3 linked regions of the Struthio camelus genome follow. The protein of the gene in region 3 interacts with the protein of the main gene of each other region in a pairwise test. Links are inferred from orthologs where the notes say so. Each region holds a gene or a part of one and is shown on either strand. Other genes may lie near its edges.

Region 1 (6,848 bases), on a different chromosome or scaffold from region 3:
TCCTCCCCCTCCCCAAAACTGCCCGCGGGGGACACCCCGAGGGGGGTTCCACTGGCAGCACCTGCTGAGACCCGATCAGCTTATTGCAGGGTGGGGTGGAATAGGGAAGGGAAGGGAATGGGGAAGGGAATGGGGAAGGGAAGGGAAGGGAAGGGAAGGGAAGGGAAGGGAAGGGAAGGGAAGGGAAGGGAAGGGAATGGGGAAGGGAAGGGAATGGGGAAGGGAAGGGAATGGGGAAGGGAATGGGGAAGGGAAGGGAAGGGAATGGGGAAGGGAATGGGGAAGGGAAGGGAATGGGGAAGGGAATGGGGAAGGGAATGGGGAAGGGAATGGGGAAGGGAAGGGAATGGGGAAGGGAATGGGGAAGGGAATGGGGAAGGGAATGGGGAAGGGAATGGGGAAGGGAATGGGGAAGGGAATGGGGAAGGGAAGGGAATGGGGAAGGGAATGGGGAAGGGAATGGGGAAGGGAATGGGGAAGGGAATGGGGAAGGGAATGGGGAAGGGAATGGGGAAGGGAATGGGGAAGGGAATGGGGAAGGGAAGGGAATGGGGAAGGGAATGGGGAAGGGAATGGGGAAGGGAAGGGGGAAGGGAAGGGGGAAGGGAATGGGGAAGGGAAGGGAATGGGGAAGGGAAGGGAAGGGAATGGGGAAGGGAAGGGAATGGGGAAGGGAAGGGAAGGGAAGGGAAGGGAAGGGAAGGGAAGGGAAGGGAATGGGGAAGGGAAGGGAAGGGAATGGGGAAGGGAAGGGGGAAGGGAATGGGGAAGGGAAGGGAAGGGAAGGGAAGGGAATGGAATGGGGAAGGGAAGGGAAGGGAATGGGGAAGGGAAGGGAATGGGGAAGGGAAGGGAATGGGGAAGGGAAAATGGGGAAGGGAAGGGAATGGGGAAGGGAAGGGAAGGGAAGGGGAAGGGAAGGGAATGGGGAAGGGAAGGGGAAGGGAAGGGGGAAGGGAATGGGGAAGGGAAGGGAAGGGAAGGGAAGGGAAGGGAAGGGAATGGGGAAGGGAAGGGAATGGGGAAGGGAATGGGGAAGGGAAGGGAAGGGAAGGGAAGGGAAGGGAAGGGAAGGGAAGGGAAGGGAAGGGAAGGGAAGGGAAGGGAAGGGAAGGGAAGGGAAGGGAAGGGAAGGGAAGGGAAGGGAAGGGAAGGGAAGGGAAGGGAAGGGAAGGGAAGGGAAGGGAAGGGAAGGGAGCGGTACCTGCGGTTGGCACTCCGGCTGTCCTGGCGAGCTACGCCGCAGCCGCCCGCCCCCGCCTGCCCCTATTTATCGCGGCCGCGGCGCTCCGGGTCCGCCCCGCTCCCGGCTCCGCTCCCGGCCCCGGAGCTTTCTGGAACCGGAGGGCCTGGCCCGGCCTGCGGGGGGGGGGGGGGGCGCCCTGGCGCCACGGGGATGGGCACATCCGCTTCGTCCCCAGGGCATCGCCCTTGGGGGAACGGTGTGTGGGGGGGCATTACCACCCCCCCCTTCCATGCACCCAAAATCCGAGCGCTGCAAGGGCCCCATCCTGCCTGCTTTCCCTCCCTCCTTCGCCGAGAGGGGGCTCAGCGCTCCCCAGCGCGCACGGCGTGGAAAAAACCGCGAGCGTTTATTTGGCAGGCGGTCCGAGGTGTCGTTTCCCACCCCCCCCCCCCAACCCCCGCTGGGGATTTCGGCTTTAGCAGCGTGATTCAGCAGGCGGCGGGGATTTTTGTTATTATTACAATTATTATTTTTGCCTCCAGCCTGTCTTTTCTCGGAAGCGTAGGGTTTGGTTTTGGCGGCCAACTTCACGGCTGCTCGTTTCCGTCCCCGGCGTCGCTCGGTTCGGAGAGCGGCGGTGGCGGCCCATCGGGTGTCCCCGTCCTGTCCCCCGGCCCCCTCGGCGGCAGCACCCGCAGCAGCGGGGGAAACTGAGGCACAGACGGGCATCCGGCGGCCAAAGGCGGGGGGGGGGGTCGTCCTGGCATCCGAGGGTGCCCCGAGAACATGTCCCCCCCCCCCCCCCCGCTCCAGCCCCTTGGCCCAGCTGCGTCCATGCGGCTGGTAAGCTGGCCAATATTGCATGCGCTAACTTTGCAAGGCCTCAGCACGGGGTTGGTTTGGGGGGGGCGGGGGGGGGAGTTGCCTGGTTATTTGCCTGCCCGGAGCTGCCCCCTCCGGCAAAGGCGGCGGGCGGAGGAGGAGCAGCGGCAGGAGGGAGGCGGGGAGAGGAGGCGCCGCAGGGGCGAGGGCGGCCTGAGAGCCGAGCGCGGCCGAAACGCGGCCCGGAGAGCGGGGGCGGCTGCCGGGGCACGCGTGTGCGTGGGGGTGCGTGTTCGCCCGGGGCCGTGTGCAGGACACGCGTGTGCACGGCGGTGTGTGTTCCCCCGGGGGCCGTGTGCGGGACACGCGTGTGCACGGCGGTGTGTGTTCCCCCAGGGCCGTGTGCAGGACACGCGTGTGCACGGCGGTGTGTGTTCCCCCGGGGGCCGTGTGCAGGACACGCGTGTGCACGGCAGTGTGTGTTCCCCCGGGGGCCGTGTGCAGGACACGCGTGTGCACGGCGGTGTGTGTTCCCCCGGGGGCCGTGTGCAGGACACGCGTGTGCACGGCGGTGTGTGTTCCCCCGGGGGCCGTGTGCAGGACACGCGTGTGCACGGCGGTGTGTGTTCCCCCGGGGGCCGTGTGCAGGACACGCGTGTGCACGGCGGTGTGTGTTCCCCCGGGGGCCGTGTGCGGGACACGCGTGTGCACGGCGGTGTGTGTTCCCCACAGCCTCAGGCCCCCGCTCCCACGCTCACCCCCCCCCCCACACACAACTTTCACACTCCCGCTCCCCTCCCGCAGCCCCGGCAGCGTCCCACCAGCATCCCGGCATGCCGCGACGGCGGACAAGGGCCCCGGTGGCAGCCGGCGCCGCGGCGGAGCTGCTGTGCATGGGCTGACGGGACGCGGCTGTGGGACCGGCCACCGCCGTGACCCCCCCCTCCATCTTTCTCGCACACTTTTGCCCACCCGGTTGGGTCCCGGCCGCTTTTGCGGCGGCACCGTGGGCACCTCTGTGCTGAGCCGATGCGGTAGCACGACGCCTGCGCGCCGCCCTCGCTGCCACTTCCGTTTCCTTGCTCCGTTTCCTCATCTCTCTCCTTTTTTTGGGGCCATCATGGCGTGTTTCTGGTGTAAGAAGAACAAGCGCCCGCGGCATCCCCTGCCAGCGCCCCGCTCCCCGGCCGAGTGCGCCCTGGTGCAGGAGAGCAAACTCAGCGCCTGGGGGGTAAGTGGCCTCCCGGGGCCGCCGGCGACGCTCGAGGAGCCGGAGGCGGCCTTCGCCGAGTCGGGCTGCCTGCCTGCAGAGCTGGCGGACGCAAGCAAGGAGCGCGCGGGGTTGCAAGCGCAGCTGCAGGATGCCCAGAGCGAGTGCACAGAGCTGCGCGCGGAGCTGGCGGACGCAAGCAAGGAGCGCGCGGGGCTGCAAGCGCAGCTGCAGGATGCCCAGAGCGAGTGCATAGAGCTGCGCGCGGAGCTGGCGGACGCAAGCAAGGAGCGCGCGGGGCTGCAAGCGCAGCTGCAGGATGCCCAGAGCGAGTGCATAGAGCTGCGCGCGGAGCTGGCGGACGCAAGCAAGGAGCGCGCGGGGTTGCAAGCGCAGCTGCAGGATGCCCGGAGCAAGTGCGCGGGGCTGCGCGCGGAGCTGGCGGACACAAGCAAGGAGCGCGCGGGGTTGCAAGCGCAGCTGCAGGATGCCCAGAGCGAGTGCATAGAGCTGCGCGCGGAGCTGGCGGACGCAAGCAAGGAGCGCGCGGGGCTGCAAGCGCAGCTGCAGGATGCCCAGAGCGAGTGCATAGAGCTGCGCGCGGAGCTGGCGGACGCAAGCAAGGAGCGCGCGGGGCTGCAAGCGCAGCTGCGGGACGCCCAGCAGAAGCGTGCCAGGTGGCCAGAAGAGCAGGCGAGCCGGGCGGCGCAGGGCGCGGAGGCGGCGGCGCTGCAGGAGACGGTGACGCCGGGTGCAAGCGGCTCAGCAGCAGCGCAGCACCCGGACCCGGAGGACGTGGCCACCAACTGCCATGGGAATGGGGCAAACGGGCAGGAGTTGGAGCCGGCGGAAGCGTGCAGGAAGGAGCAAGTGTGGGAGAAGCTGCAGCAGCTGGGGGAGGACATGGCCACGTGGAGCAAGAGGTCCACGAGAGACCTGGCCACCCAGCTGGTCAAGCGGATCCTGCAGACCGACACGGCGGTGTACCCCATGGCAGGGGTCAGCGAGGGCGGCTTGCAGCCCCCCGCGCCAGCCCGGCCGGGTGTCCGCTGGAGGCACGTGAACACTCTCCGCGTGGACAACGAGGGCAGGGTGTTTGTGCCAGTCAGGATAGCGGGCTCCGAGGAGGTGGACGCCCTGGTGGACGTCAACGCGGACGTCAGTGCGGTGCAGCTGTGCCCTCAGCTGGGAGGAGACGGGGTGCAGGACCGCACTGCAGGGCTGGGAGGTGCCATGTGCTATGATGTCCCCTTCTCCATCGGCGGGACGGTGTACTACGGGGATGTGCAGCACCTCCCCGCCATGCCGGAGCTGTGCGTTTTGGGAAGCGACTTCCTAACGGCTCACCGGTGGCAGCTGGACCTGGCTAACAGGAAGATTTGGGAAGTCTCTGAAGACAACCTGTTGGAGCAGGCAGGTCCACCAGTCCTTCCTAGACCCTCGCTGCAGGTCTGCAGGACCCTAATGCTGCTGGCTCCAAGTCAAGAGCCATGGAGGGAGGAATTCCCAGATGTGTGGACAAGGTACAAGATGGACTGTGGTTTGGTCTCTGGGGAGGAAAATATCACAGGGGGACCAGTGCCATTCCAAAAGCAATATGCGTATTTGGAGGAGGCGGAAAACGCAGTGGCTAACATCCTTGAAGACCTGCTGGCTCAAGGAGTGGTGGTAGAAGGGACATCTCCGTCCAACAGCCCTTTATGGCCCGTGAAGAAGGCCAACAAGAAAGAGTGGCGTCTAACGGTGGATTATCGAGCTGTCAACAGGGCCACCGCCAGGATAGCCCCGGTGGTCCTGGACAGGACGAAGATCGTCACGGCCCTGAGTCCCAAGAGCAAGTACTTCTCCGTGCTCGACTTGTCGAATTGCTCCTTTGCCATCCCGCTGGCACCAGCCTGCAGAGCCCGCTTTGCCTTCACGTTCAGAGGCCGGCAGTACCTCTTCACCAGGCTGCCCCAGGGCCTCCACAACACCACCACCATCGTGCACCAGCGGGTGGCTCAGATGTTAGCCCAGCTGCCCGACGAAGACAAAGAGGAGGTGCTTTCATACGTCGATGATATCATCATCGCTGGGAAAACCCAAGAGGAGACCAGAGCCCGGACGAGGAGAGTCCTGGAGCTGATCCAGAAAACTGGCTTTAAAGCCAAGTTAGAAAAGGCCCAACTAGTGCAGCCCAAGGTCAATTACCTGGGGATCACGATAGGGCCAAAGGGGAGGGAGATACAGGAGAGCAAGCTGAAGGCCGTGGACAAGAAGCGCCACCCGCGGGATGTGCGCGAGCTCCAGGGCTTGCTGGGATGGTTCAGGTCCATGCAAGAGCACGTTGAGGGCTACTCGGAGATTGCCCAGCCGCTCTACCGCTTAATGAGGAAGCCGGAGAGATGGGAGTGGGGACCTGAGCACGAGGAGGCCCTGAGCCGCCTGAAGGACGCGATCCTTAGGGCGCCCGCGCTGCGCTTCCCCGACCGGTCCCAGCCCTTTGTCATCAGGCTGACGACGAGCGAGCACGCCACGGGGGCTGCCCTGCTGCAGGAGGACGAGCAGAGCCAGCTGGTCCCAGTGGCATACCATTCCCAGCTGCTGAAGGACCACGAGGTCTCCTATTCACCACGCGAGAAGGAGTGCTTGGTGGCAGTACAAGCCGTGCAGGCCTTCAGGGCTCTCACGGGGCCGGCTCCTGTCGTTATCCAAATGCCACATTCGCCTTTGAAATACCTCCTTTGGGGGATGGCGACGGGAGCTCACACGTCAAGCGCCCACCCGGCCCAGTGGGCTCTGTTGCTGGTGAACAGGGGGGTCCCAGGGGAGACGGTCCCCAACGGGAACCCCCTTCCCTGCGGGCACCCTGCGGGCTCGGTGGTGCCCACCGCGCCCCCGCTGCGGCTCTTGCCCTCGCACGTCCCCGCGGGCAACGTGTGGTTCACCGTCGGCAGCGTGCTCCACCACGACGTGGACTATTTCGTCTTTGCAGCCGCCAGCCTGGAAGAACGGTGGCTCCTCGGGATGCGGGAGAGCGGCTCGGCGCAGACCGCGGAGCTGGCTGCCGTGGAGCAGGTCCTGCGCGGCCACGGGAGCGCTTTGCCCCTCTATTTGTACTCCGACTCCAAGTCCTTGGTGAAGAAGCTGCAGGAGGAGGGTGCCGAGGGCCTGCTGGAGACCACCGGCGGCGAGACGTGCGCCAACGGGGCCTCGTGGCCGAGCATCTGGCGCTGGATTCGCTCCAACCCGGGGGTGCTGCACGTCAGGCACGTCGCCGGACACGGGAGCGAGGACCCGGAGGAGCACGAGTGGAACCTGAGAGTGGGCAAAAGGGCCAGGGAAATGCCCGGGCGAGTCAAAACGGGGACAGCGAGGAGCCCGCAGGACTGGGAGCCGTCGAGGCACGAGAAACAGGAGATAGTCGCGCAGTGTCACGGCTGGTTGCACGAGGGGGTAGAGGGGAGCCTGGCCAGGGCGAGGCGGGTGGCGCGGTGGGAAGGCGACGAGGAGCAAGTAGCAGAGTGGGTGCAGAACTGCTTGCGGTGCGCTACGGCCGCGGGCAAAGCGCTACCCCTGAAGCCGCAGCGGGCGGACGGCCCGTGGTCTCAGCTCCAGGTAAGCTACGTCAACGGCCTCCCCCAAGCCGAA
Region 2 (6,984 bases), on a different chromosome or scaffold from region 3:
CCAGAGCCTGCGCTCTTGGAGAGGCGTCACTGTCAGTATAGCAAGCCGTGAGAACCACTGTCAGAATAGGCTCCCCACAAACACAAGTCAACCTTAGCAAGGACATCACACACGCGAGGCACCTGCCCCAAGGCTTAGATCAGATCTGTACAGGGTATTCTGCTAAGGTGTACACCAAGGGAACAGTTAACTTGAATACAAGGTCAAATCAAGTGACAGCTTGACAATCCAGTGCTGACATTTGTCTAACATCAGATACAGACTTTCCAAGGGCAAGTTTCTTTTGAAAGAAGGCTTATTCCAGTTTTATGAGGCTAGCATGAGGTGTATAGATTTGCCTGGGCAAACGTATACTAGTGAAAACAACTCATGCAGCAGATGCTGTGCATCTGCTAGCAGTCCATTTAGAAGCATTTACGGTGGACAATGGATGGGCCAGACTCATCATATTCCTGCTTGCTGATCCACATCTGCTGGAAAGTTGATAGAGACGCCAGGATGGAGCCACCAATCCAGACAGAGTATTTACGCTCAGGTGGGGCAATGATCTGCAAGAGAAGAGGAGCAGTCAGAACTGCCCAGGGCTTTCCGGCCTCCTCCCACAAAACACAGGGGCCTGCAGCATCGTCCGCAGCAGGACAAAGGAGCATTTCTTACCTTGATCTTCATTGTGCTAGGTGCCAGAGCTGTGATTTCCTTCTGCATTCTGTCAGCAATTCCAGGGTACATTGTGGTACCACCAGACAATACTGTGTTGGCATACAGGTCCTTCCTGATGTCTACATCACACTTCATGATTGAGTTGAAAGTGGTCTCATGAATGCCACAAGACTCCATGCCTAGGGAGAAAAGAGTTGCAGGCTTGTTAGCACACACACGCAGCACCTCATTTCAGCCATGCCAACCCCCCAGCTCAGCATGCAGCCAGAGCAAACTCCCACACCAGAGGGGCACTCCAGGTGCCACCGGTCTCTCAGGGCGGCTCTGGCCCATACCTACCCAGGAAGGATGGCTGGAAGAGGGCTTCCGGACACCTGAACCGCTCATTGCCAATGGTGATCACCTGACCATCAGGCAGCTCATAGCTCTTCTCCAGGGAGGAGGAAGAGGCAGCAGTGGCCATCTCCTGCTCGAAGTCCAGGGCGACATAGCACAGCTTTTCCTTTATGTCACGGACAATCTCCCTTTCAGCTGTTGTAGTGAAGCTGTAGCCTCTTTCTGTCAGGATCTTCATGAGGTAGTCTGTCAGGTCACGGCCAGCCAAGTCCAGGCGCAGGATGGCATGGGGCAGAGCATACCCCTCGTAGATGGGCACAGTATGGGTGACACCATCCCCAGAGTCCATAACGATACCAGTGGTACGGCCAGAGGCATACAGGGACAGCACAGCCTGGATGGCAACGTACATGGCTGGGGTGTTGAAGGTCTCAAACATGATCTGGAAGAAAGAAGAAACAGTTCAGCATGGAACAACAAGCTGGGTCACTCACACCTGTGTTAGAACATGCATGTTGACATGCAAAAACTGATGTGTGAAAGAAAAGCAAAGAACGCAGGCAGAAAACACAAATGAAAGAAACCTGAGACGTCAAGGAGGAAATGCCAGGAGTAGAGAACCCTGAAAACATTGGGAGAAAAAAAACTCAGGTTTAAGATGCCATAACAAAAGAGGGTTTGTGAAGATGGAGGTAAGCGGCGGCTGCTGCCCAAGGAAGCGTACCTGTGTCATCTTCTCTCTGTTGGCCTTGGGGTTCAGAGGAGCCTCTGTGAGCAGGACAGGGTGCTCCTCGGGAGCCACACGGAGCTCATTGTAGAAGGTGTGATGCCAAATTTTCTCCATGTCGTCCCAGTTAGTGACAATACCGTGCTCAATGGGGTACTTCAGGGTGAGGATTCCTCTCTTGCTCTGGGCCTCATCACCTACGTAGCTGTCCTTCTGCCCCATGCCCACCATGACGCCCTAGGAAGGGACGCATGAGTCAGCTCCGCGCACTGCAGCACCGCCCCAGGCACACCCACTCCGGGCAGGGCCCTCCCAGCTTACCTGGTGTCGGGGGCGCCCAACAATGGAGGGGAACACAGCACGGGGAGCATCGTCCCCTGCAAAGCCAGCTTTGCACATGCCGGAGCCATTGTCGATGACGAGCGCTGCAATTTCTTCTTCCATTTTGAAGGATCTGATGTCGGGGGGGGGGAGGAAGAGACAGAGCCCTCGCTCAGCAACCCAGCCCTGCCGTGCCCAGCGCCACGTCACGCCCGCACCCTGCACCGGCTGGGGGCCGCGGCCCCGGGAGGCCGCGCTGGCAGCGGGCCAGCCCGAAGCTCGGGGGGGGGCGGGCAGGGGGGTCCCGCAGCGCGGCCAGGAGGGGAGGGCCGGCTCCCGCACGGCACGGCGCCAGGCGGCCGCCGCCCTGCGGCGGGGCGGCTCCCCGGGGGGCCCCCGCCGGGCCGGGCCGGGCCGGGCCGCGCCGCCCCAGCGCGGCAGCCCCGCGCCCGCCCCGCGGTTTGAATCTCCCGCGCCCTGACGTCACCCGCCTCCGCGGCCAATCGCGCCCCACCCTCCTCCGGCTCGCGCGTTCTTCCCCCTCCCCCCTCCCTTCCCAACGGCCCGGCTCCCATTCAAACGGGCGAGACCACTCCGGTGGGGGGAGGGGTGGGAGAACACCAGGGCGGGCACAACCCACCCCACGAGCCAGCCGGGAGCGGCACGTTGCAAACCCCCCCCGCCCCCTCCCCCCCGGGGACCTCAGTGGCGCGGCCCAAGAGGGGCGCGAGCCACGCCCTAACGGCTAACGGCCACCGGCCCCGAGGGCGGCGGGGGGCTCGGGCCGGGCCGGGCCGGCCGGTACCTGTGCGGAGGAGGCTTCTCGCGGTGCGGGGAAGGGAGACGATACCGCCTGGTCTGCTGCCGCCGGCTGAGTGAGACCGTCCAGCTCCCAGCCCCACGCTTTTATACCCAGGGGGCGATGACCCCGCCCCGCCGGCCGAGAAGATCGCCATATATGGAGATCTTTCAGAAACACGCGCTCCCATTGGCTGGCGCGGCCCCGGCCACGTGGGGCGGCTGCCGGCCTGCCCCCGCCCCGCAGCACCCCGGAACCTGCATGGGGCGCAGAGGCCGGGGGGGGGGGGGGGCGGCGACCCCGGCCCCGGCAGCGCCCCGCGCCGGCCGCCAGCGCCGGGCACCCTCCCGCCGCCGGCGCCGCCCCGCGCCCGGCCCGGCCCCGCCAGCCAGGGGCGCCCCGGGCACGCCCGCGGGCAGCCGGCACCCCCCGACAGCGCCGTGCACCCCCCCGACAGCGCCGTGCACCCCCCGGGGCAGCTGTGCACCCCCTGACAGCCCTGTGCACCCCAAAGATTGCACCGTGCACCCCCCGGGGCAGCTGTGCACCCTCTGACAGCACCGTGCACCCCCCCCCCGACAGCACCGTGCACCCCGTGGGGCAGCTGTTCACCCCCCGACAGTGCCGTGAACCCCCTCCCCGACAGCACTGTGCACCCCCGACAGCACCGTGCACCCCCTGACAGCACCCCCTGCAACAGCTGTCCACCCCCAGATAGCACCGTGCGCCCCCCTCGACAGCACCATGCACCCCCTGTGGCATCAGTGCACCTCCCGACAGCACCGTGCACCCAAAGATAGCACCGTGCACCCCTTGGGGCAGCTGTGCACCCCCTCAACAGCACCGTGCACCCCCTAGACAGCACTGTGCACCGTGCCGCTGGGGCAGCTGGCACCCCCTCAGAAAGCACCATGCACCCCCTGGGGCAGCACCGTGTACCCCCTAGACAGCACCGTGCACCCCAAAGATGGCACTGTGCACCCCCCGGGGCAGCTGTGCACCCCCCCGACAGCGCCCTTGTGCAGCACCATGCGCCCCGCACGAGCACCGCCCCGTCGGCAGCACTGTATCCCCCTCGGAAGGCCTGTGCCCCCCTCGCACAGCACCAGGCACCCCACAGGCCGTGCCAGGCACCCTGACGCGCGCACCTCAGGGAACGCCGGGCGCCCAGAGACGGGGCTGCGCGCCCCTCGGACAGCGCCGGGCACCCTGCTCGCAGCACCGCCCCGCGGGCAGCACCGTGCACCCCGCAGACAGCGCCGTGCCCCCTTCACGCTGCACCACCCCTTGTGCAGCGGCACTGCGCACCCCTCAGGAAGCACTGTGCACCCCTCAGGCAGCACCCTGCACCCCACAAATAGCACCGAGCACCCCACAGAGAGCGCTGTGCACCCTCAGATGGTGCCGTGCACCCTCCAGGCAGCACCGCCCCGTCGGCAGCCCCATGCACCCTCTGGCAGCGCTGCACACAGACAGCATCCTGCACCCTATGGACAATGCCGAGCACCCCACGGACAATGCCGAGCACCCCACGGACAGCGCCGAGCACCCCATGGACAATGCCGAGCACCCCACGGACAGTGCCGTGCACCCCACAGACAGCGCCCCGGGGCCGGCACCGCTTTGCCATCAGCTCCGAGCGCCCCACGGGTGGGCAGGTGGCACCCGGCGTGCGTGGCGCGGTGCGTCCTGCGAGAGCCCCCCGCGTGGCGCAGGCTCCGCTCGGCGCCCGGCGTCGGGCACGGCCAGCACGGGACGCCCCGAAGCACCTGGGCCCGGAGCACCGTGATCTGTGCCTGCAGAGCCAGGTGGCTGGAGCGCCGCACGCCATCCCCGGAGCTGTGCGTGCCGTGCCGGAGCGCCGTGTGCTGTGCTGGAGCACCCTGTGCTGTGCCGGAGCACCATGTGCCATGCTGAAGCATTGTGTGCCATGTCCGGCGCTGTGCGTGCCATGTCCGGAGCGCCGTGTGCTGTGCAGGAGTACAGTGTGCTGTGCTGGAGCACCGCAGGCTGTGTCCGGAGCACCACGTGCTGTGTCCAGAGCACCATGTGCCATGCCGGAGCACCGTGTGCCATATCTGGAGCACCGTGTGTCATGTCTGGAGCAAAGTGTGCCATGCAGGAGCACTGTGTGTTGTGCCGGAGCACTGCGTGCCGTGCAGGAGCACCGTGTGCCATGTCTGGAGCATGGTGTGCCGTGTCTGGAGCACCACATGCTGTGTCCGGAGCATCGCATGCCGTGTCCGGAGCACCACATGCCGTGCAGGAGCACCGTGTGCCATGTCCAGAGCAACGTGTGCCATGCAGGAGCATGGTGTGCCGTGTCTGGAGCACCACATGCTGTGTCCGGAGCATCGCGTGCCGTGTCCGGAGCACTGTGTGCTGTGTCTGGAGCACTGTGTGCTGTGCCGGAGCACCGTGTGCCATGTCTGGAGCACCGCGCTCCATGCTGGAGCACCGCGTGCTGTGCCGGAGCACCATGTGCCGTGGGGGAGCCCCGCATGCCGTGTTGGAGCACCACGTGCCGTGCCGGAGCACCACGTCCCGTGCCAGAGCACCGCGTGCCGTGCCGGAGCACCACGTGCCGTGCCTGAGCACCGCGTGCCGTGCCGAGCACCATGTGCCGTGCCAGAGCACCACATGCCACGCTGGAGCACCATGTGCCGTGCCTGAGCACCGCGTGCCGTGCCGAGCACCACATGCCACGCTGGAGCACCATGTGCCGCGCCTGAGCACCACATGCCGTGCCGGAGCACCATGTGCCGTGCCGGAGCACCGCGTGCCGTGCCGGAGCACCACATGCCGTGCTGGAGCACCACGTGCCGTGCCGGAGCACCACGTGCCTTACCAGAGCACCGCGTGCCGTGCCGGAGCACCACGTGCCTTACCAGAGCACCGCGTGCCGTGCCGGAGCACCGCGTGCCGCGCCGGAGCACCAGGTGCCGTGCTGAGCACCAAGTGCCGTGCCGGAGCACCAGGTGCCGTGCCGGAGCACCGCGTGCCGTGCCGAGCACCGCGTGCCGTGCCGAGCACCGCGTGCCGTGCCGGAGCACCAGGTGCCGTGCCGGAGCACCGCGTGCCGTGCCGGAGCACCAAGTGCCGTGCCGAGCACCGCGTGCCGTGCCGGAGCACCAAGTGCCGTGCCGGAGCACCACGTGCCGCGCCGGAGCACCACGTGCTGTGCCGGAGCACCAGGTGCCGTGCCGGAGCGCCGCACGCTCCTGCAGGCCCTCTGCGCAGGTCGGGCGACGCCGGGAGAGCAGCGCTGCCGCCTGCCTCGTGGCGGCCGGGGCTGCAGGCCGGTGGCAGCGGCGCTTCGCCTCGTCCGCAGGCTCGCGCGGCGCCGCGCAGAGCCGGGAGCGGGGCTGACCGCCCCGCCGCTGCCACCGCCGCCGCTTTTGAGTGGGAAACGTTTGTTTGCCGGCACCGGGAGGAGCGGAGCACCGCAGGGACGTGCGCGGCGGAGCGGGGCCGGAGCGGCTACGTTAGGCGAAATCGGGCGCCTCAGCCCCGAAACCGCCCACGGCCCAGCCCAGGCCGCCGTCACCGCCAGACCTTCGCCCCGGCCGGCCCCGCGCCCGCGGGCGGCAGCAGCAGCAGCAGCAGCAGCAGGAGGAGGAAGGAGCGGCTGGGCAGGGCGCTGAGTCACGGCAGCCCCCGGCCGCGGCAGGACCGGCTCGGCGTCGCCGCGGCGACGGGCAGCATCACACCCCTCGGTTGCCATGGCGACGGCTCGGTGTTGGCGTGGCGACGGGGGCAGCGGGGACCCTGGGGCCAGGTGTGCGGCGTCTCGGGGAGCAGGGGGGCCGCGGTGAGGCCGGGCACCGCCATCGGCCGTCCCGACCCCGACCCAAACCCCGATTGCAGCCCCATTCCTGACCCCATCCCCAATCCCACCGCTGACCCTGATCCTGACCCCGTTCCTGACCCCAACTTCAACTCCATCCCCAATCCTGCCCCGACCCCGGTCCTGATCCCAGCCCCAGCTCCATCGCCATCCCTCACCCCGTTCCTGACCCCAAGCCTAACCGTGACCCCATCCCCAATCCCACCCTGACCCCGACCCTGACCCCGATCCCGACCCCAACCGTGACCCCATCCCCAATCCCACCACTGACCCTGACCCCAATTCCGACCCCAT
Region 3 (7,305 bases):
AGCCAAAGCACAGGACCGGACAAACTGATAGTCAAAGGTCCACCTTATTTATATGCATTTGCTTGTTGTTCATCAAAGCCAGCCTCCTGGAACATTTTGGTGACTCAGACTTGGAGATAAGTGGCCTAAGCGCTTCTCTTCCCCAGTATTAAGAACAAATCATCCCTTCAGCCAGATTTTGAGTCACTACCTGCTTACAACATTTCATAGAGCCATCCTTCACCCTTTCAAACAGGCAGCCAGAACAACGTCTCCTCCATCCAGACTCATCTACAAAGCAGCAGCAACGTGACACTTCTATTTCCTAATAAATGAAATTTTGCAAGGCTTGTGGAATTACTCCTCACTGCCATGTTTTTGTGCTCAGGCAGCAAATTTACTATTGATTTCTGATTCAGACCCTGTGGAATGATTCATGCTTCTTACCCTATCTGCTGAATTTATGACCTTTAACAATTATTCTAAGTGCTAAACGAGCTTAGTTTAGAAGAAGATCTATTCCTTGGCAAATTAAGACCCTATTCTGGTCTCACTTATAAACCAACACATCTCTCGTAATTTAAAGGAAAAGTGTCATAACAGGTCTCTTGCCTTTAGGTTACACAGCACAGGGCTCCCTTGAGCCCTGAGCATGACTGCTGCTGGCCTGAGGCAGAAGGCAAGGTGGGACACCCCAAATCCCAAGAGCTCTGTGCCCCACAGTGTGAGCAGCAGCTGCCTTACTGCAGCCCTGTAGCCTCGCACGGCTACTCCATGTCGGCATGAGCAGCTCATCTCGGCTTGGCAGCACTAGGGAGCGGCTCAGGGTTGATGTTCACACCAGAACATCCTCAACCAGTTGAGCTGATCTTGAGCTCCTGGCTAACGCGACACAAGCTGCTTCCTGACAAGGAAGCGCTGCGGTGTCTTCCATCGCTCTAGCGGGCTCCCATATCCTCCTCCGAACACCTCAGTGGTGGGCAATAACATCGTCCGCTTCTCCAAATTCTCATCTTATAACGGGACTTGAAAAACCTATTTCCTGCTGAAGCGGCCTTGCCGGAAAGCCACGTCAACTACCACTGCAGAGGCAAGGGGACACGGCAAAAGGACCATCCTTAGCATCTCACCATGTCGTCGGGTGCAGGTCCCACACCTCGAGCTGTCCTGGAGCAGCAGGACGTCTCTGCTCAGAGTTCACTCTCAGTGGTTGGGGAGGGGAGAGCAGAAAGGGAATATACGTTTCCTTTCAAAAAGGAAACAAAACCTAAACTGTATCTTGTACGCATTGCCATCAAAAAGCCACAAACACACAAAAACTAAGCATATACTGATAGATCTTTAAAAATAACTGGTTCCCTGGTTCAAATGAAATTAAAAAAAAAAAAAAGTTATTTTCAGGGACCGGGGTCAAGCAGAGGGCCCCCTTGCCCTCACGAACAATACTGCTTTCCTGGATTAACTCCACTGACTTTGGTATCCTTTCTCCCAAGACACTTTCTACCTACAAGGGGAAACGAGCTCTAGGTCTGTTTTCAAGCTGGATGGTCCCCCTGCTCCAATCCTGTCTACACCTTGAATCGCTGAGCAATCGTTTACACTATTAATCAACCAGAAACTCACTAGGAAGAAAGTAGGGCAAGTGAATAAAGATAGACATCTTTTTTTTCACTGAAGCAAATAATATTTCTAAAAATACACTTATGTAAGTCTTCAGCGGGTTCTGCTTAATTTTATTTATCTATCTATTCCAGCAGGCTGAGATAAGCAGTCTTGCTGCAACCTCCACATGAAACACCGCTTCTCTGAACAACTCCCCACGCTCGACACCAACTACCTGTTCTCAAGACAAAAAGGATGAAGAGAAAAGAGGGGAAAAAGGGGGGGGGGGGGGAAGTTACCGTAACAAGGGCAGTGGCGGAGGGGGGGACACAGTGCCAGCCCACACGGAGGCTGACACGTTTGCCAAGCCCGACATTTCAAGGGTAGAGCGACAGGAAAGCTTTGTTTCAGAGGGGGAAGGTGAAGAGCAGGCAGAGCTAATGGAGAGGGATGGAGAGAGAAGAAACGGGCTGCGGGTCCGCGTCGGCGCGGAGCGGCACCGGAGCAGCCCGCACCAGCGCCGCGCACACGCGTGTGTGGGTGTGTGTGCACACGCGTGCACGCTACGTGATTTATTAACCGAGCGTGGCGAGGAGGGGCTCGGCCGTCCCGGGGGCTCCCCGCGCGCCCAGCCCCACCGCCGCCACCCCACCGGCCAGCGCGCAGGGACAAAGCCCAGCACCGAGGCCACGTTTCGGCGGCGACACGCGTGAAACACGGCCGCGCGGGCTGGGCGTGGGGTTTTTCCCCAGGCATGTGATTTTTTTTTTATTTTCATTTTTCTACACCTGCCAGAGCCCCCACGGGGACGGGGAGCGCCGCGGTGTCCTTCGCGCAGGGGCCGGGCGCAGAGGCGGCGCGGGGGGACCGGCCTTGCACACGCACACACGGCTGCACACGCTCACGCACAGCCACACACACACCCCCCCCCCGTTTACATAAACGTGCACACACCTATACACAGACACACGTCAATATACCTACACGCACATACACACACGCTTGTACACACACAGACATATATAAACATGAGCACACAGATGGGGATAAACGCACACACACGCGCGCAGCGGGGCAGAGGCGGCAGCCGCACAGCCCAGCGCAGCCCCCGCGCCCGGCTCAGCCTCACCTGCCCGAGGAGAGCCCCCTTCCCCACGCACGTACACCCCCCACGCCCCACGCGCGGCCCCTCACCCGCAGCGCCGAGAGGTCGATCTCGTCCAGGCTCCGCGCCGGCGAGTCGCTCGCCATGTTTCCTCCGCCGGCGGCGGCAGCGGCGGCAGCAGCGGCGGCCCCGGCGCCGCCACCGAGCTGGCAGTCTCCGGCCGCGGCGGCGCTCGGCGCTATTTAACGCCTCTCCTCATGCGGGGGGCCGCGGGAGAAGCCGCCCCTGCCGCTGCTCCCCCCCCCCTTCCTCTTCCTCCTCCTCCGCCGCGGCAGCGGGCAGCGCGGCGGCTAGGGGCGGCCGCGGGCTGGCGGCGGGCAGGGCACGCCGCGGGCTGCGCCGGGATGGCGGCGGCGGCGGCGGCGCATCGCCGCCTCCCCGGCCGGAGCGCGCTGCCGGAGCTGTCTGTCAGCGCGGCGGGGGGCGGCCGCGCCGCTGCCTGCCGGGGCGGGGGCGGCGGCGGCGGTGGCGGCGGGGGCGGCGGCGGCGCCGCCGGCTCCCGCTAGGGGGCGGCCACGGGCGGGGGCCGAGGCGGGCAGGAGCCGAGGCGGGCAGGAGCTGAGGCGGGCAGGAGCCGGGGCGAGCGGGAGCCGGGGCGAGCGGGAGCCGGGGCGAGCGGGAGCCGAGGCGGGCAGGGGCGGGAAGGGGCCGGGGCGGGCAGGGGCCGGGGCGAGCAGGAGCCGGGGCGGGAAGGAGCCGAGGCGAGCAGGGGCCGGGGCGGGAAGGAGCCGAGGCGAGCAGGGGCCGGGGCGGGAAGGAGCCGAGGCGAGCAGGGGCCGGGGCGGGAAGGAGCCGAGGCGGGCAGGGGCCGGGGCGGGAAGGGGCCGAGGCGGGCAGGGGCCGAGGCGGGCAGGAGCCGAGGCGGGCAGGGGCCGAGGCGGGCAGAGGCCGGGGCGGGCAGGAGCTGAGGTGGGCAGGGGCCGAGGCGGGCAGGGGCCGAGGCGGGCAGGAGCCGAGGCGGGCAGGGGCCGGGGCGGGCAGGGGCCGGGGCGGGCAGGGGCCGGGGCGGGCAGGAGCTGAGGTGGGCAGGGGCCGAGGCGGGCAGGGGCCGGGGCGGGCAGGGGCCGGGGCGGGAAGGGGCCGAGGCGGGCAGGGGCCGAGGCGGGCAGGGGCCGGGGCGGGAAGGGGCCGGGGCGGGCAGGGGCCGGGGCGGGCTGGGGCCGGGGCGGGCAGGAGCTGAGGCTGCCCGCGCCCCCCAACCCCAGCGCCCTCCCTCCGCCCCGAGGCCAGAGGCTTCGCCCCACTGAGGTGACCGGCCCCTCGGTTTTCCACCTTCCACCCGGCCTGGTTTCACCCCAAGCCCCGCCGTTGGGACAGGCGAGGGCTTTGGCCCGGAAAGCTCGGCAGCGCGCGCCGCGGTTTCTCCGCGCCCTGCTGCCCACCGGCCTGCTGGGGTGCTCTCCTGACCTCCCCCCGCCCGACGCAAGGCACGAAGGACGCGGCTGGGGGAATAATGTCTGCGAACGACCCTGCTGGCTGCCGACGCCGAAGTCCAGTCGGGGACACGTGGCTTTGCAGAGTCCCACGCTCGTGCTTATTGAGCGCGTAGGCTCTCGCAACGCCGTTGGAGCCACCTGGCCGGAAAAAAATCCGGGGTTAAGCGTCAGCCAGTGCCGCAGCAGCTATGCCGTGGCTTTGCAAAGCTTGGCGGCACAAGTTGCCAAAATCGAGGTGCTGAACCCAACCCATGCAGCGCTTGGGTGCTGGGAAGCCTAAGGGCCTCATCACCTTCCACCCAAAAGCGGTGGCTGCTCTTCTTCGTGCACGTCAGGACGGTCAGGCCAAGAAACCGGCCTGCTCCTACTGGATCCAGATGTTAGATCCGATTTCGGGTCCTCTTTCCCTCAGCGCTTAGGAGTATCGCGAGCTGTCCTTGACCTATCTAATTCCCTTTTTGAGCAAGAATGAGAGATTTACGCTGTCTCTGGGACTGCAGTTGGCCAAAAGCCTCCCAAACCCAGCAATTAGCTAGGTAGAGTCAGCTTTGACTGTTTTCCTTATTCCCCTTATTCGGAAGTCGTTTCTGCCAAACCAGGTGCCATATATAAATATATATATATAAAATCTGTTGCCTTTGAGCAAACCGTATGGAAGATGTACTTACAACATCAGCTCTCGCCGGCTTGTGTCAGGCTCTTACAATATGCAGATCTGGGAAGCGGAAACCCTACACATGAGACAATTGGCAGACGGATGGGGTTTTCTGACGCTCGCTGGTCGGAGATGCACTTAGTACATTTGGGGAAAAAAAACAACCAAAAACCCAAATCACGTCACGAACGAACGGTGCCGTTGCAGGGAGGCTCGGCGCTGCGGCTAGTGCACAACGGGGCTCATTGCCTGCGATATGGCGACGGTTTTTTGAGCCCTGCGAAACCCGGCCGAGGAAGTGCGGCCCTGCACAACTGCATCGATGTCTCGTTAGCGTTAGTGCGGATCACGGCTTTCTGACACAAGCCGAGGAAGGGAGCAACGGCGTCGTCCTGCGATGCTGGGAACGAGAGCGTTCCTGTTTGCAAAACTCCCAGGGCAAAGCAGAAGGCAATTTTTTTTCTTTTAGTGAACTGCTGGAGCGTCAGGAAACTGCAGTTACCCTGAAATGCGTGAAGTGCGCAGCACTGCACAGCACGTGCAGTCCTGGGATGGCAGCGTGGCTGGGTTTATTCCCTTTCTCCTGCTCCATGAATCCTTTATACCTTCACAGTGATTAGGCCTCGGCTGCATTTAAAAAGCCAAGTTTGATCAAAATGTTAAACTCAGTAAAATAATTATACATTTGGAAAACGGGGAACAGCCTTATTGCTTCTGAGCATCCTCCTGAATCTGTAGCGCTGATGGAATTTTTTTTAAACCAGATGTTGTCTGTGTCGGTTCAAACCTAGATATTGCAATGTTTGCTCATACTTGGGAAGCTGAAAGCAAAACTGCCTGGAAACTAGTAACCAAAGAAATTGCAAGATTTCCTACTGCTTTCATTGTTCCCAGGGAAAGAAATGGAAAGAACAAATGGAATGAGAGAGGACATTGGTTTTCTCCAATATGCTTTCCGTTCAAGAATGCAAGGTTTTATTTGTGAAGCATGAAAGGATTAAAAAAAGAAAAAAAACCAACAAAATAAATATGTGCCCCAGTCCTGCATATAGACAGATTGCCTCAATCCTCGGTGTAAATGCAAAGTTTATACCCAAGCTAAACCATGGTGTCATGACAGTCCGTCCTCTGTGTGACAAGACAGCGAAAACGTAGAGAACCGTTCTGTGTCAATAACATAAGAAATGCAGTAAACGGTAGTGGAGGGCGGATGCAGACCCCGGCGACTTCGAGGCAGCGCGGCATGAGGACTGCCGGGGCGAGCGCAGCGCATGGGCAGCTGCTCGGGGCAGCACGACCTCGGCAGGGAGACGCCGGCCCGGCCTTCCCGCTGGCCATGGGGAGACGTCCGGCCACGTACGACTGGAGCTGGTCAGTCACTTTCTGCAGGAAACTTTTTCTATAGAAAATGAAGTTTCTGATACGTTAACCTTTTTTGCAAGGAGGCGTATGTTTGTGTCTCTCTGTATACCATTTCTCTGCCAGGAGCATCTAAACAAAAGTCTTGCAGTTTGAGTTGCTATGACTCGAAAGAGAGCGCTCCGTGGAGTTGGCCTGAAATGTTTTGCTGAGAGTCGGTTCAACATTAACTCGTGTTTGCAGCTAGCGGGGCCCTCCTGGGGATCGTTGTGGGGCCCCGTCCTGCCACATGCCGGGACCCTTTCGACCTGACGCGCCGCAGCAGGGCCTCGCTCAGCTCTGTGCAGCGCATAGGCGGCGACTCCAGGTCACGTCGCTCGCCAAGCAGAGACCTGTGGTAGGGGGGTACAGCTGGCGCTGAGCTTGACTCCTGATATCCCCAGTTAGCTCCGCACGCTCTATTTCTACCTCCCTAGAGGTGGAGGTGGGCACGGTTTTGTGTGAAGACATCGTTTTGGCCATGTTCACCAAACTCACTTTTTTTTTTTCTTTTTACTTTCCCATCCTCTGACAGATGGCACGATTTTGCCTTTTCATCCCAATTTGGAATGGAGGCAAATGCTAAAATGTCAGCTTTTCCTACAGGATGGCTTTGGTCCCAAGTTTTGGTCAGCCGCAGTGAACAACAGGCGCACCGTAACAAACCAAATCTCAGCTGTTGGCAGGGAGGGTTGATGACGTCAGGGTCAGTATTTTTGATTCATTCATTAAAGGACATCAGCTCACCAATAAACCGTCCAGTTCATTTGACCTCTGCATATAACCAAATTTAGTAATCTAACCGTGCCATTGGTGTTAATTACATCATGAAGGGGTATATGTTGAAATTAGTAAATCTAAACGACACACAAGGCCTTGCCTGGTTGGCAAGAGCTTCAGTTGCTTTGGGCTTTGGATTATTCTCTGAAAGACTGGAGAGGGAAGGAATGAAGCAAATAAAGCATGCTTGGGCCCTATTGCATGATTTATTCCACCAGCATAGGTGGATCACTTGTTTCCAAATAATTCTATGACCACTTGGACCCGTGACTGGTGTCAGCTTAGTATTT

Evidence for each region. The genes of interacting proteins can lie anywhere in the genome.
Region 1: the proteins of TNIK (region 3) and CLU interact in a two-hybrid assay, tested with the Homo sapiens proteins (2 studies listed by BioGRID and IntAct). The link is inferred for Struthio camelus from reciprocal best matches to the Homo sapiens genes TNIK and CLU.
Region 2: the proteins of TNIK (region 3) and ACTG1 interact in a two-hybrid assay, tested with the Homo sapiens proteins (2 studies listed by BioGRID and IntAct). The link is inferred for Struthio camelus from reciprocal best matches to the Homo sapiens genes TNIK and ACTG1.

Annotation. Positions count from the first base shown.
Region 1 is NC_090944.1:8,553,259-8,560,106, forward strand, and holds the start of CLU (clusterin), read right to left. Parts: upstream 3,005-6,848; 5' UTR 2,981-3,004; intron 1,536-2,980; exon of another isoform or gene 1,205-1,535; intron 1-1,204.
Region 2 is NC_090960.1:1,594,375-1,601,358, forward strand, and holds the start of ACTG1 (actin, cytoplasmic 2), read right to left. Parts: upstream 3,005-6,984; 5' UTR 2,850-3,004; intron 2,178-2,849; 5' UTR 2,168-2,177; coding exon 2,045-2,167; intron 1,961-2,044; coding exon 1,721-1,960; intron 1,439-1,720; coding exon 1,000-1,438; intron 840-999; coding exon 658-839; intron 549-657; coding exon 405-548; 3' UTR 1-404. Other genes in the region: keratinocyte proline-rich protein-like, read left to right, coding at 5,269-6,900. UniProt on the Homo sapiens protein: Actins are highly conserved proteins that are involved in various types of cell motility and are ubiquitously expressed in all eukaryotic cells.
Region 3 is NC_090950.1:27,544,264-27,551,568, reverse strand, and holds the start of TNIK (TRAF2 and NCK-interacting protein kinase), read right to left. Parts: upstream 3,018-7,305; 5' UTR 2,833-3,017; coding exon 2,776-2,832; intron 1-2,775. UniProt on the Homo sapiens protein: Serine/threonine kinase that acts as an essential activator of the Wnt signaling pathway. Recruited to promoters of Wnt target genes and required to activate their expression. May act by phosphorylating TCF4/TCF7L2.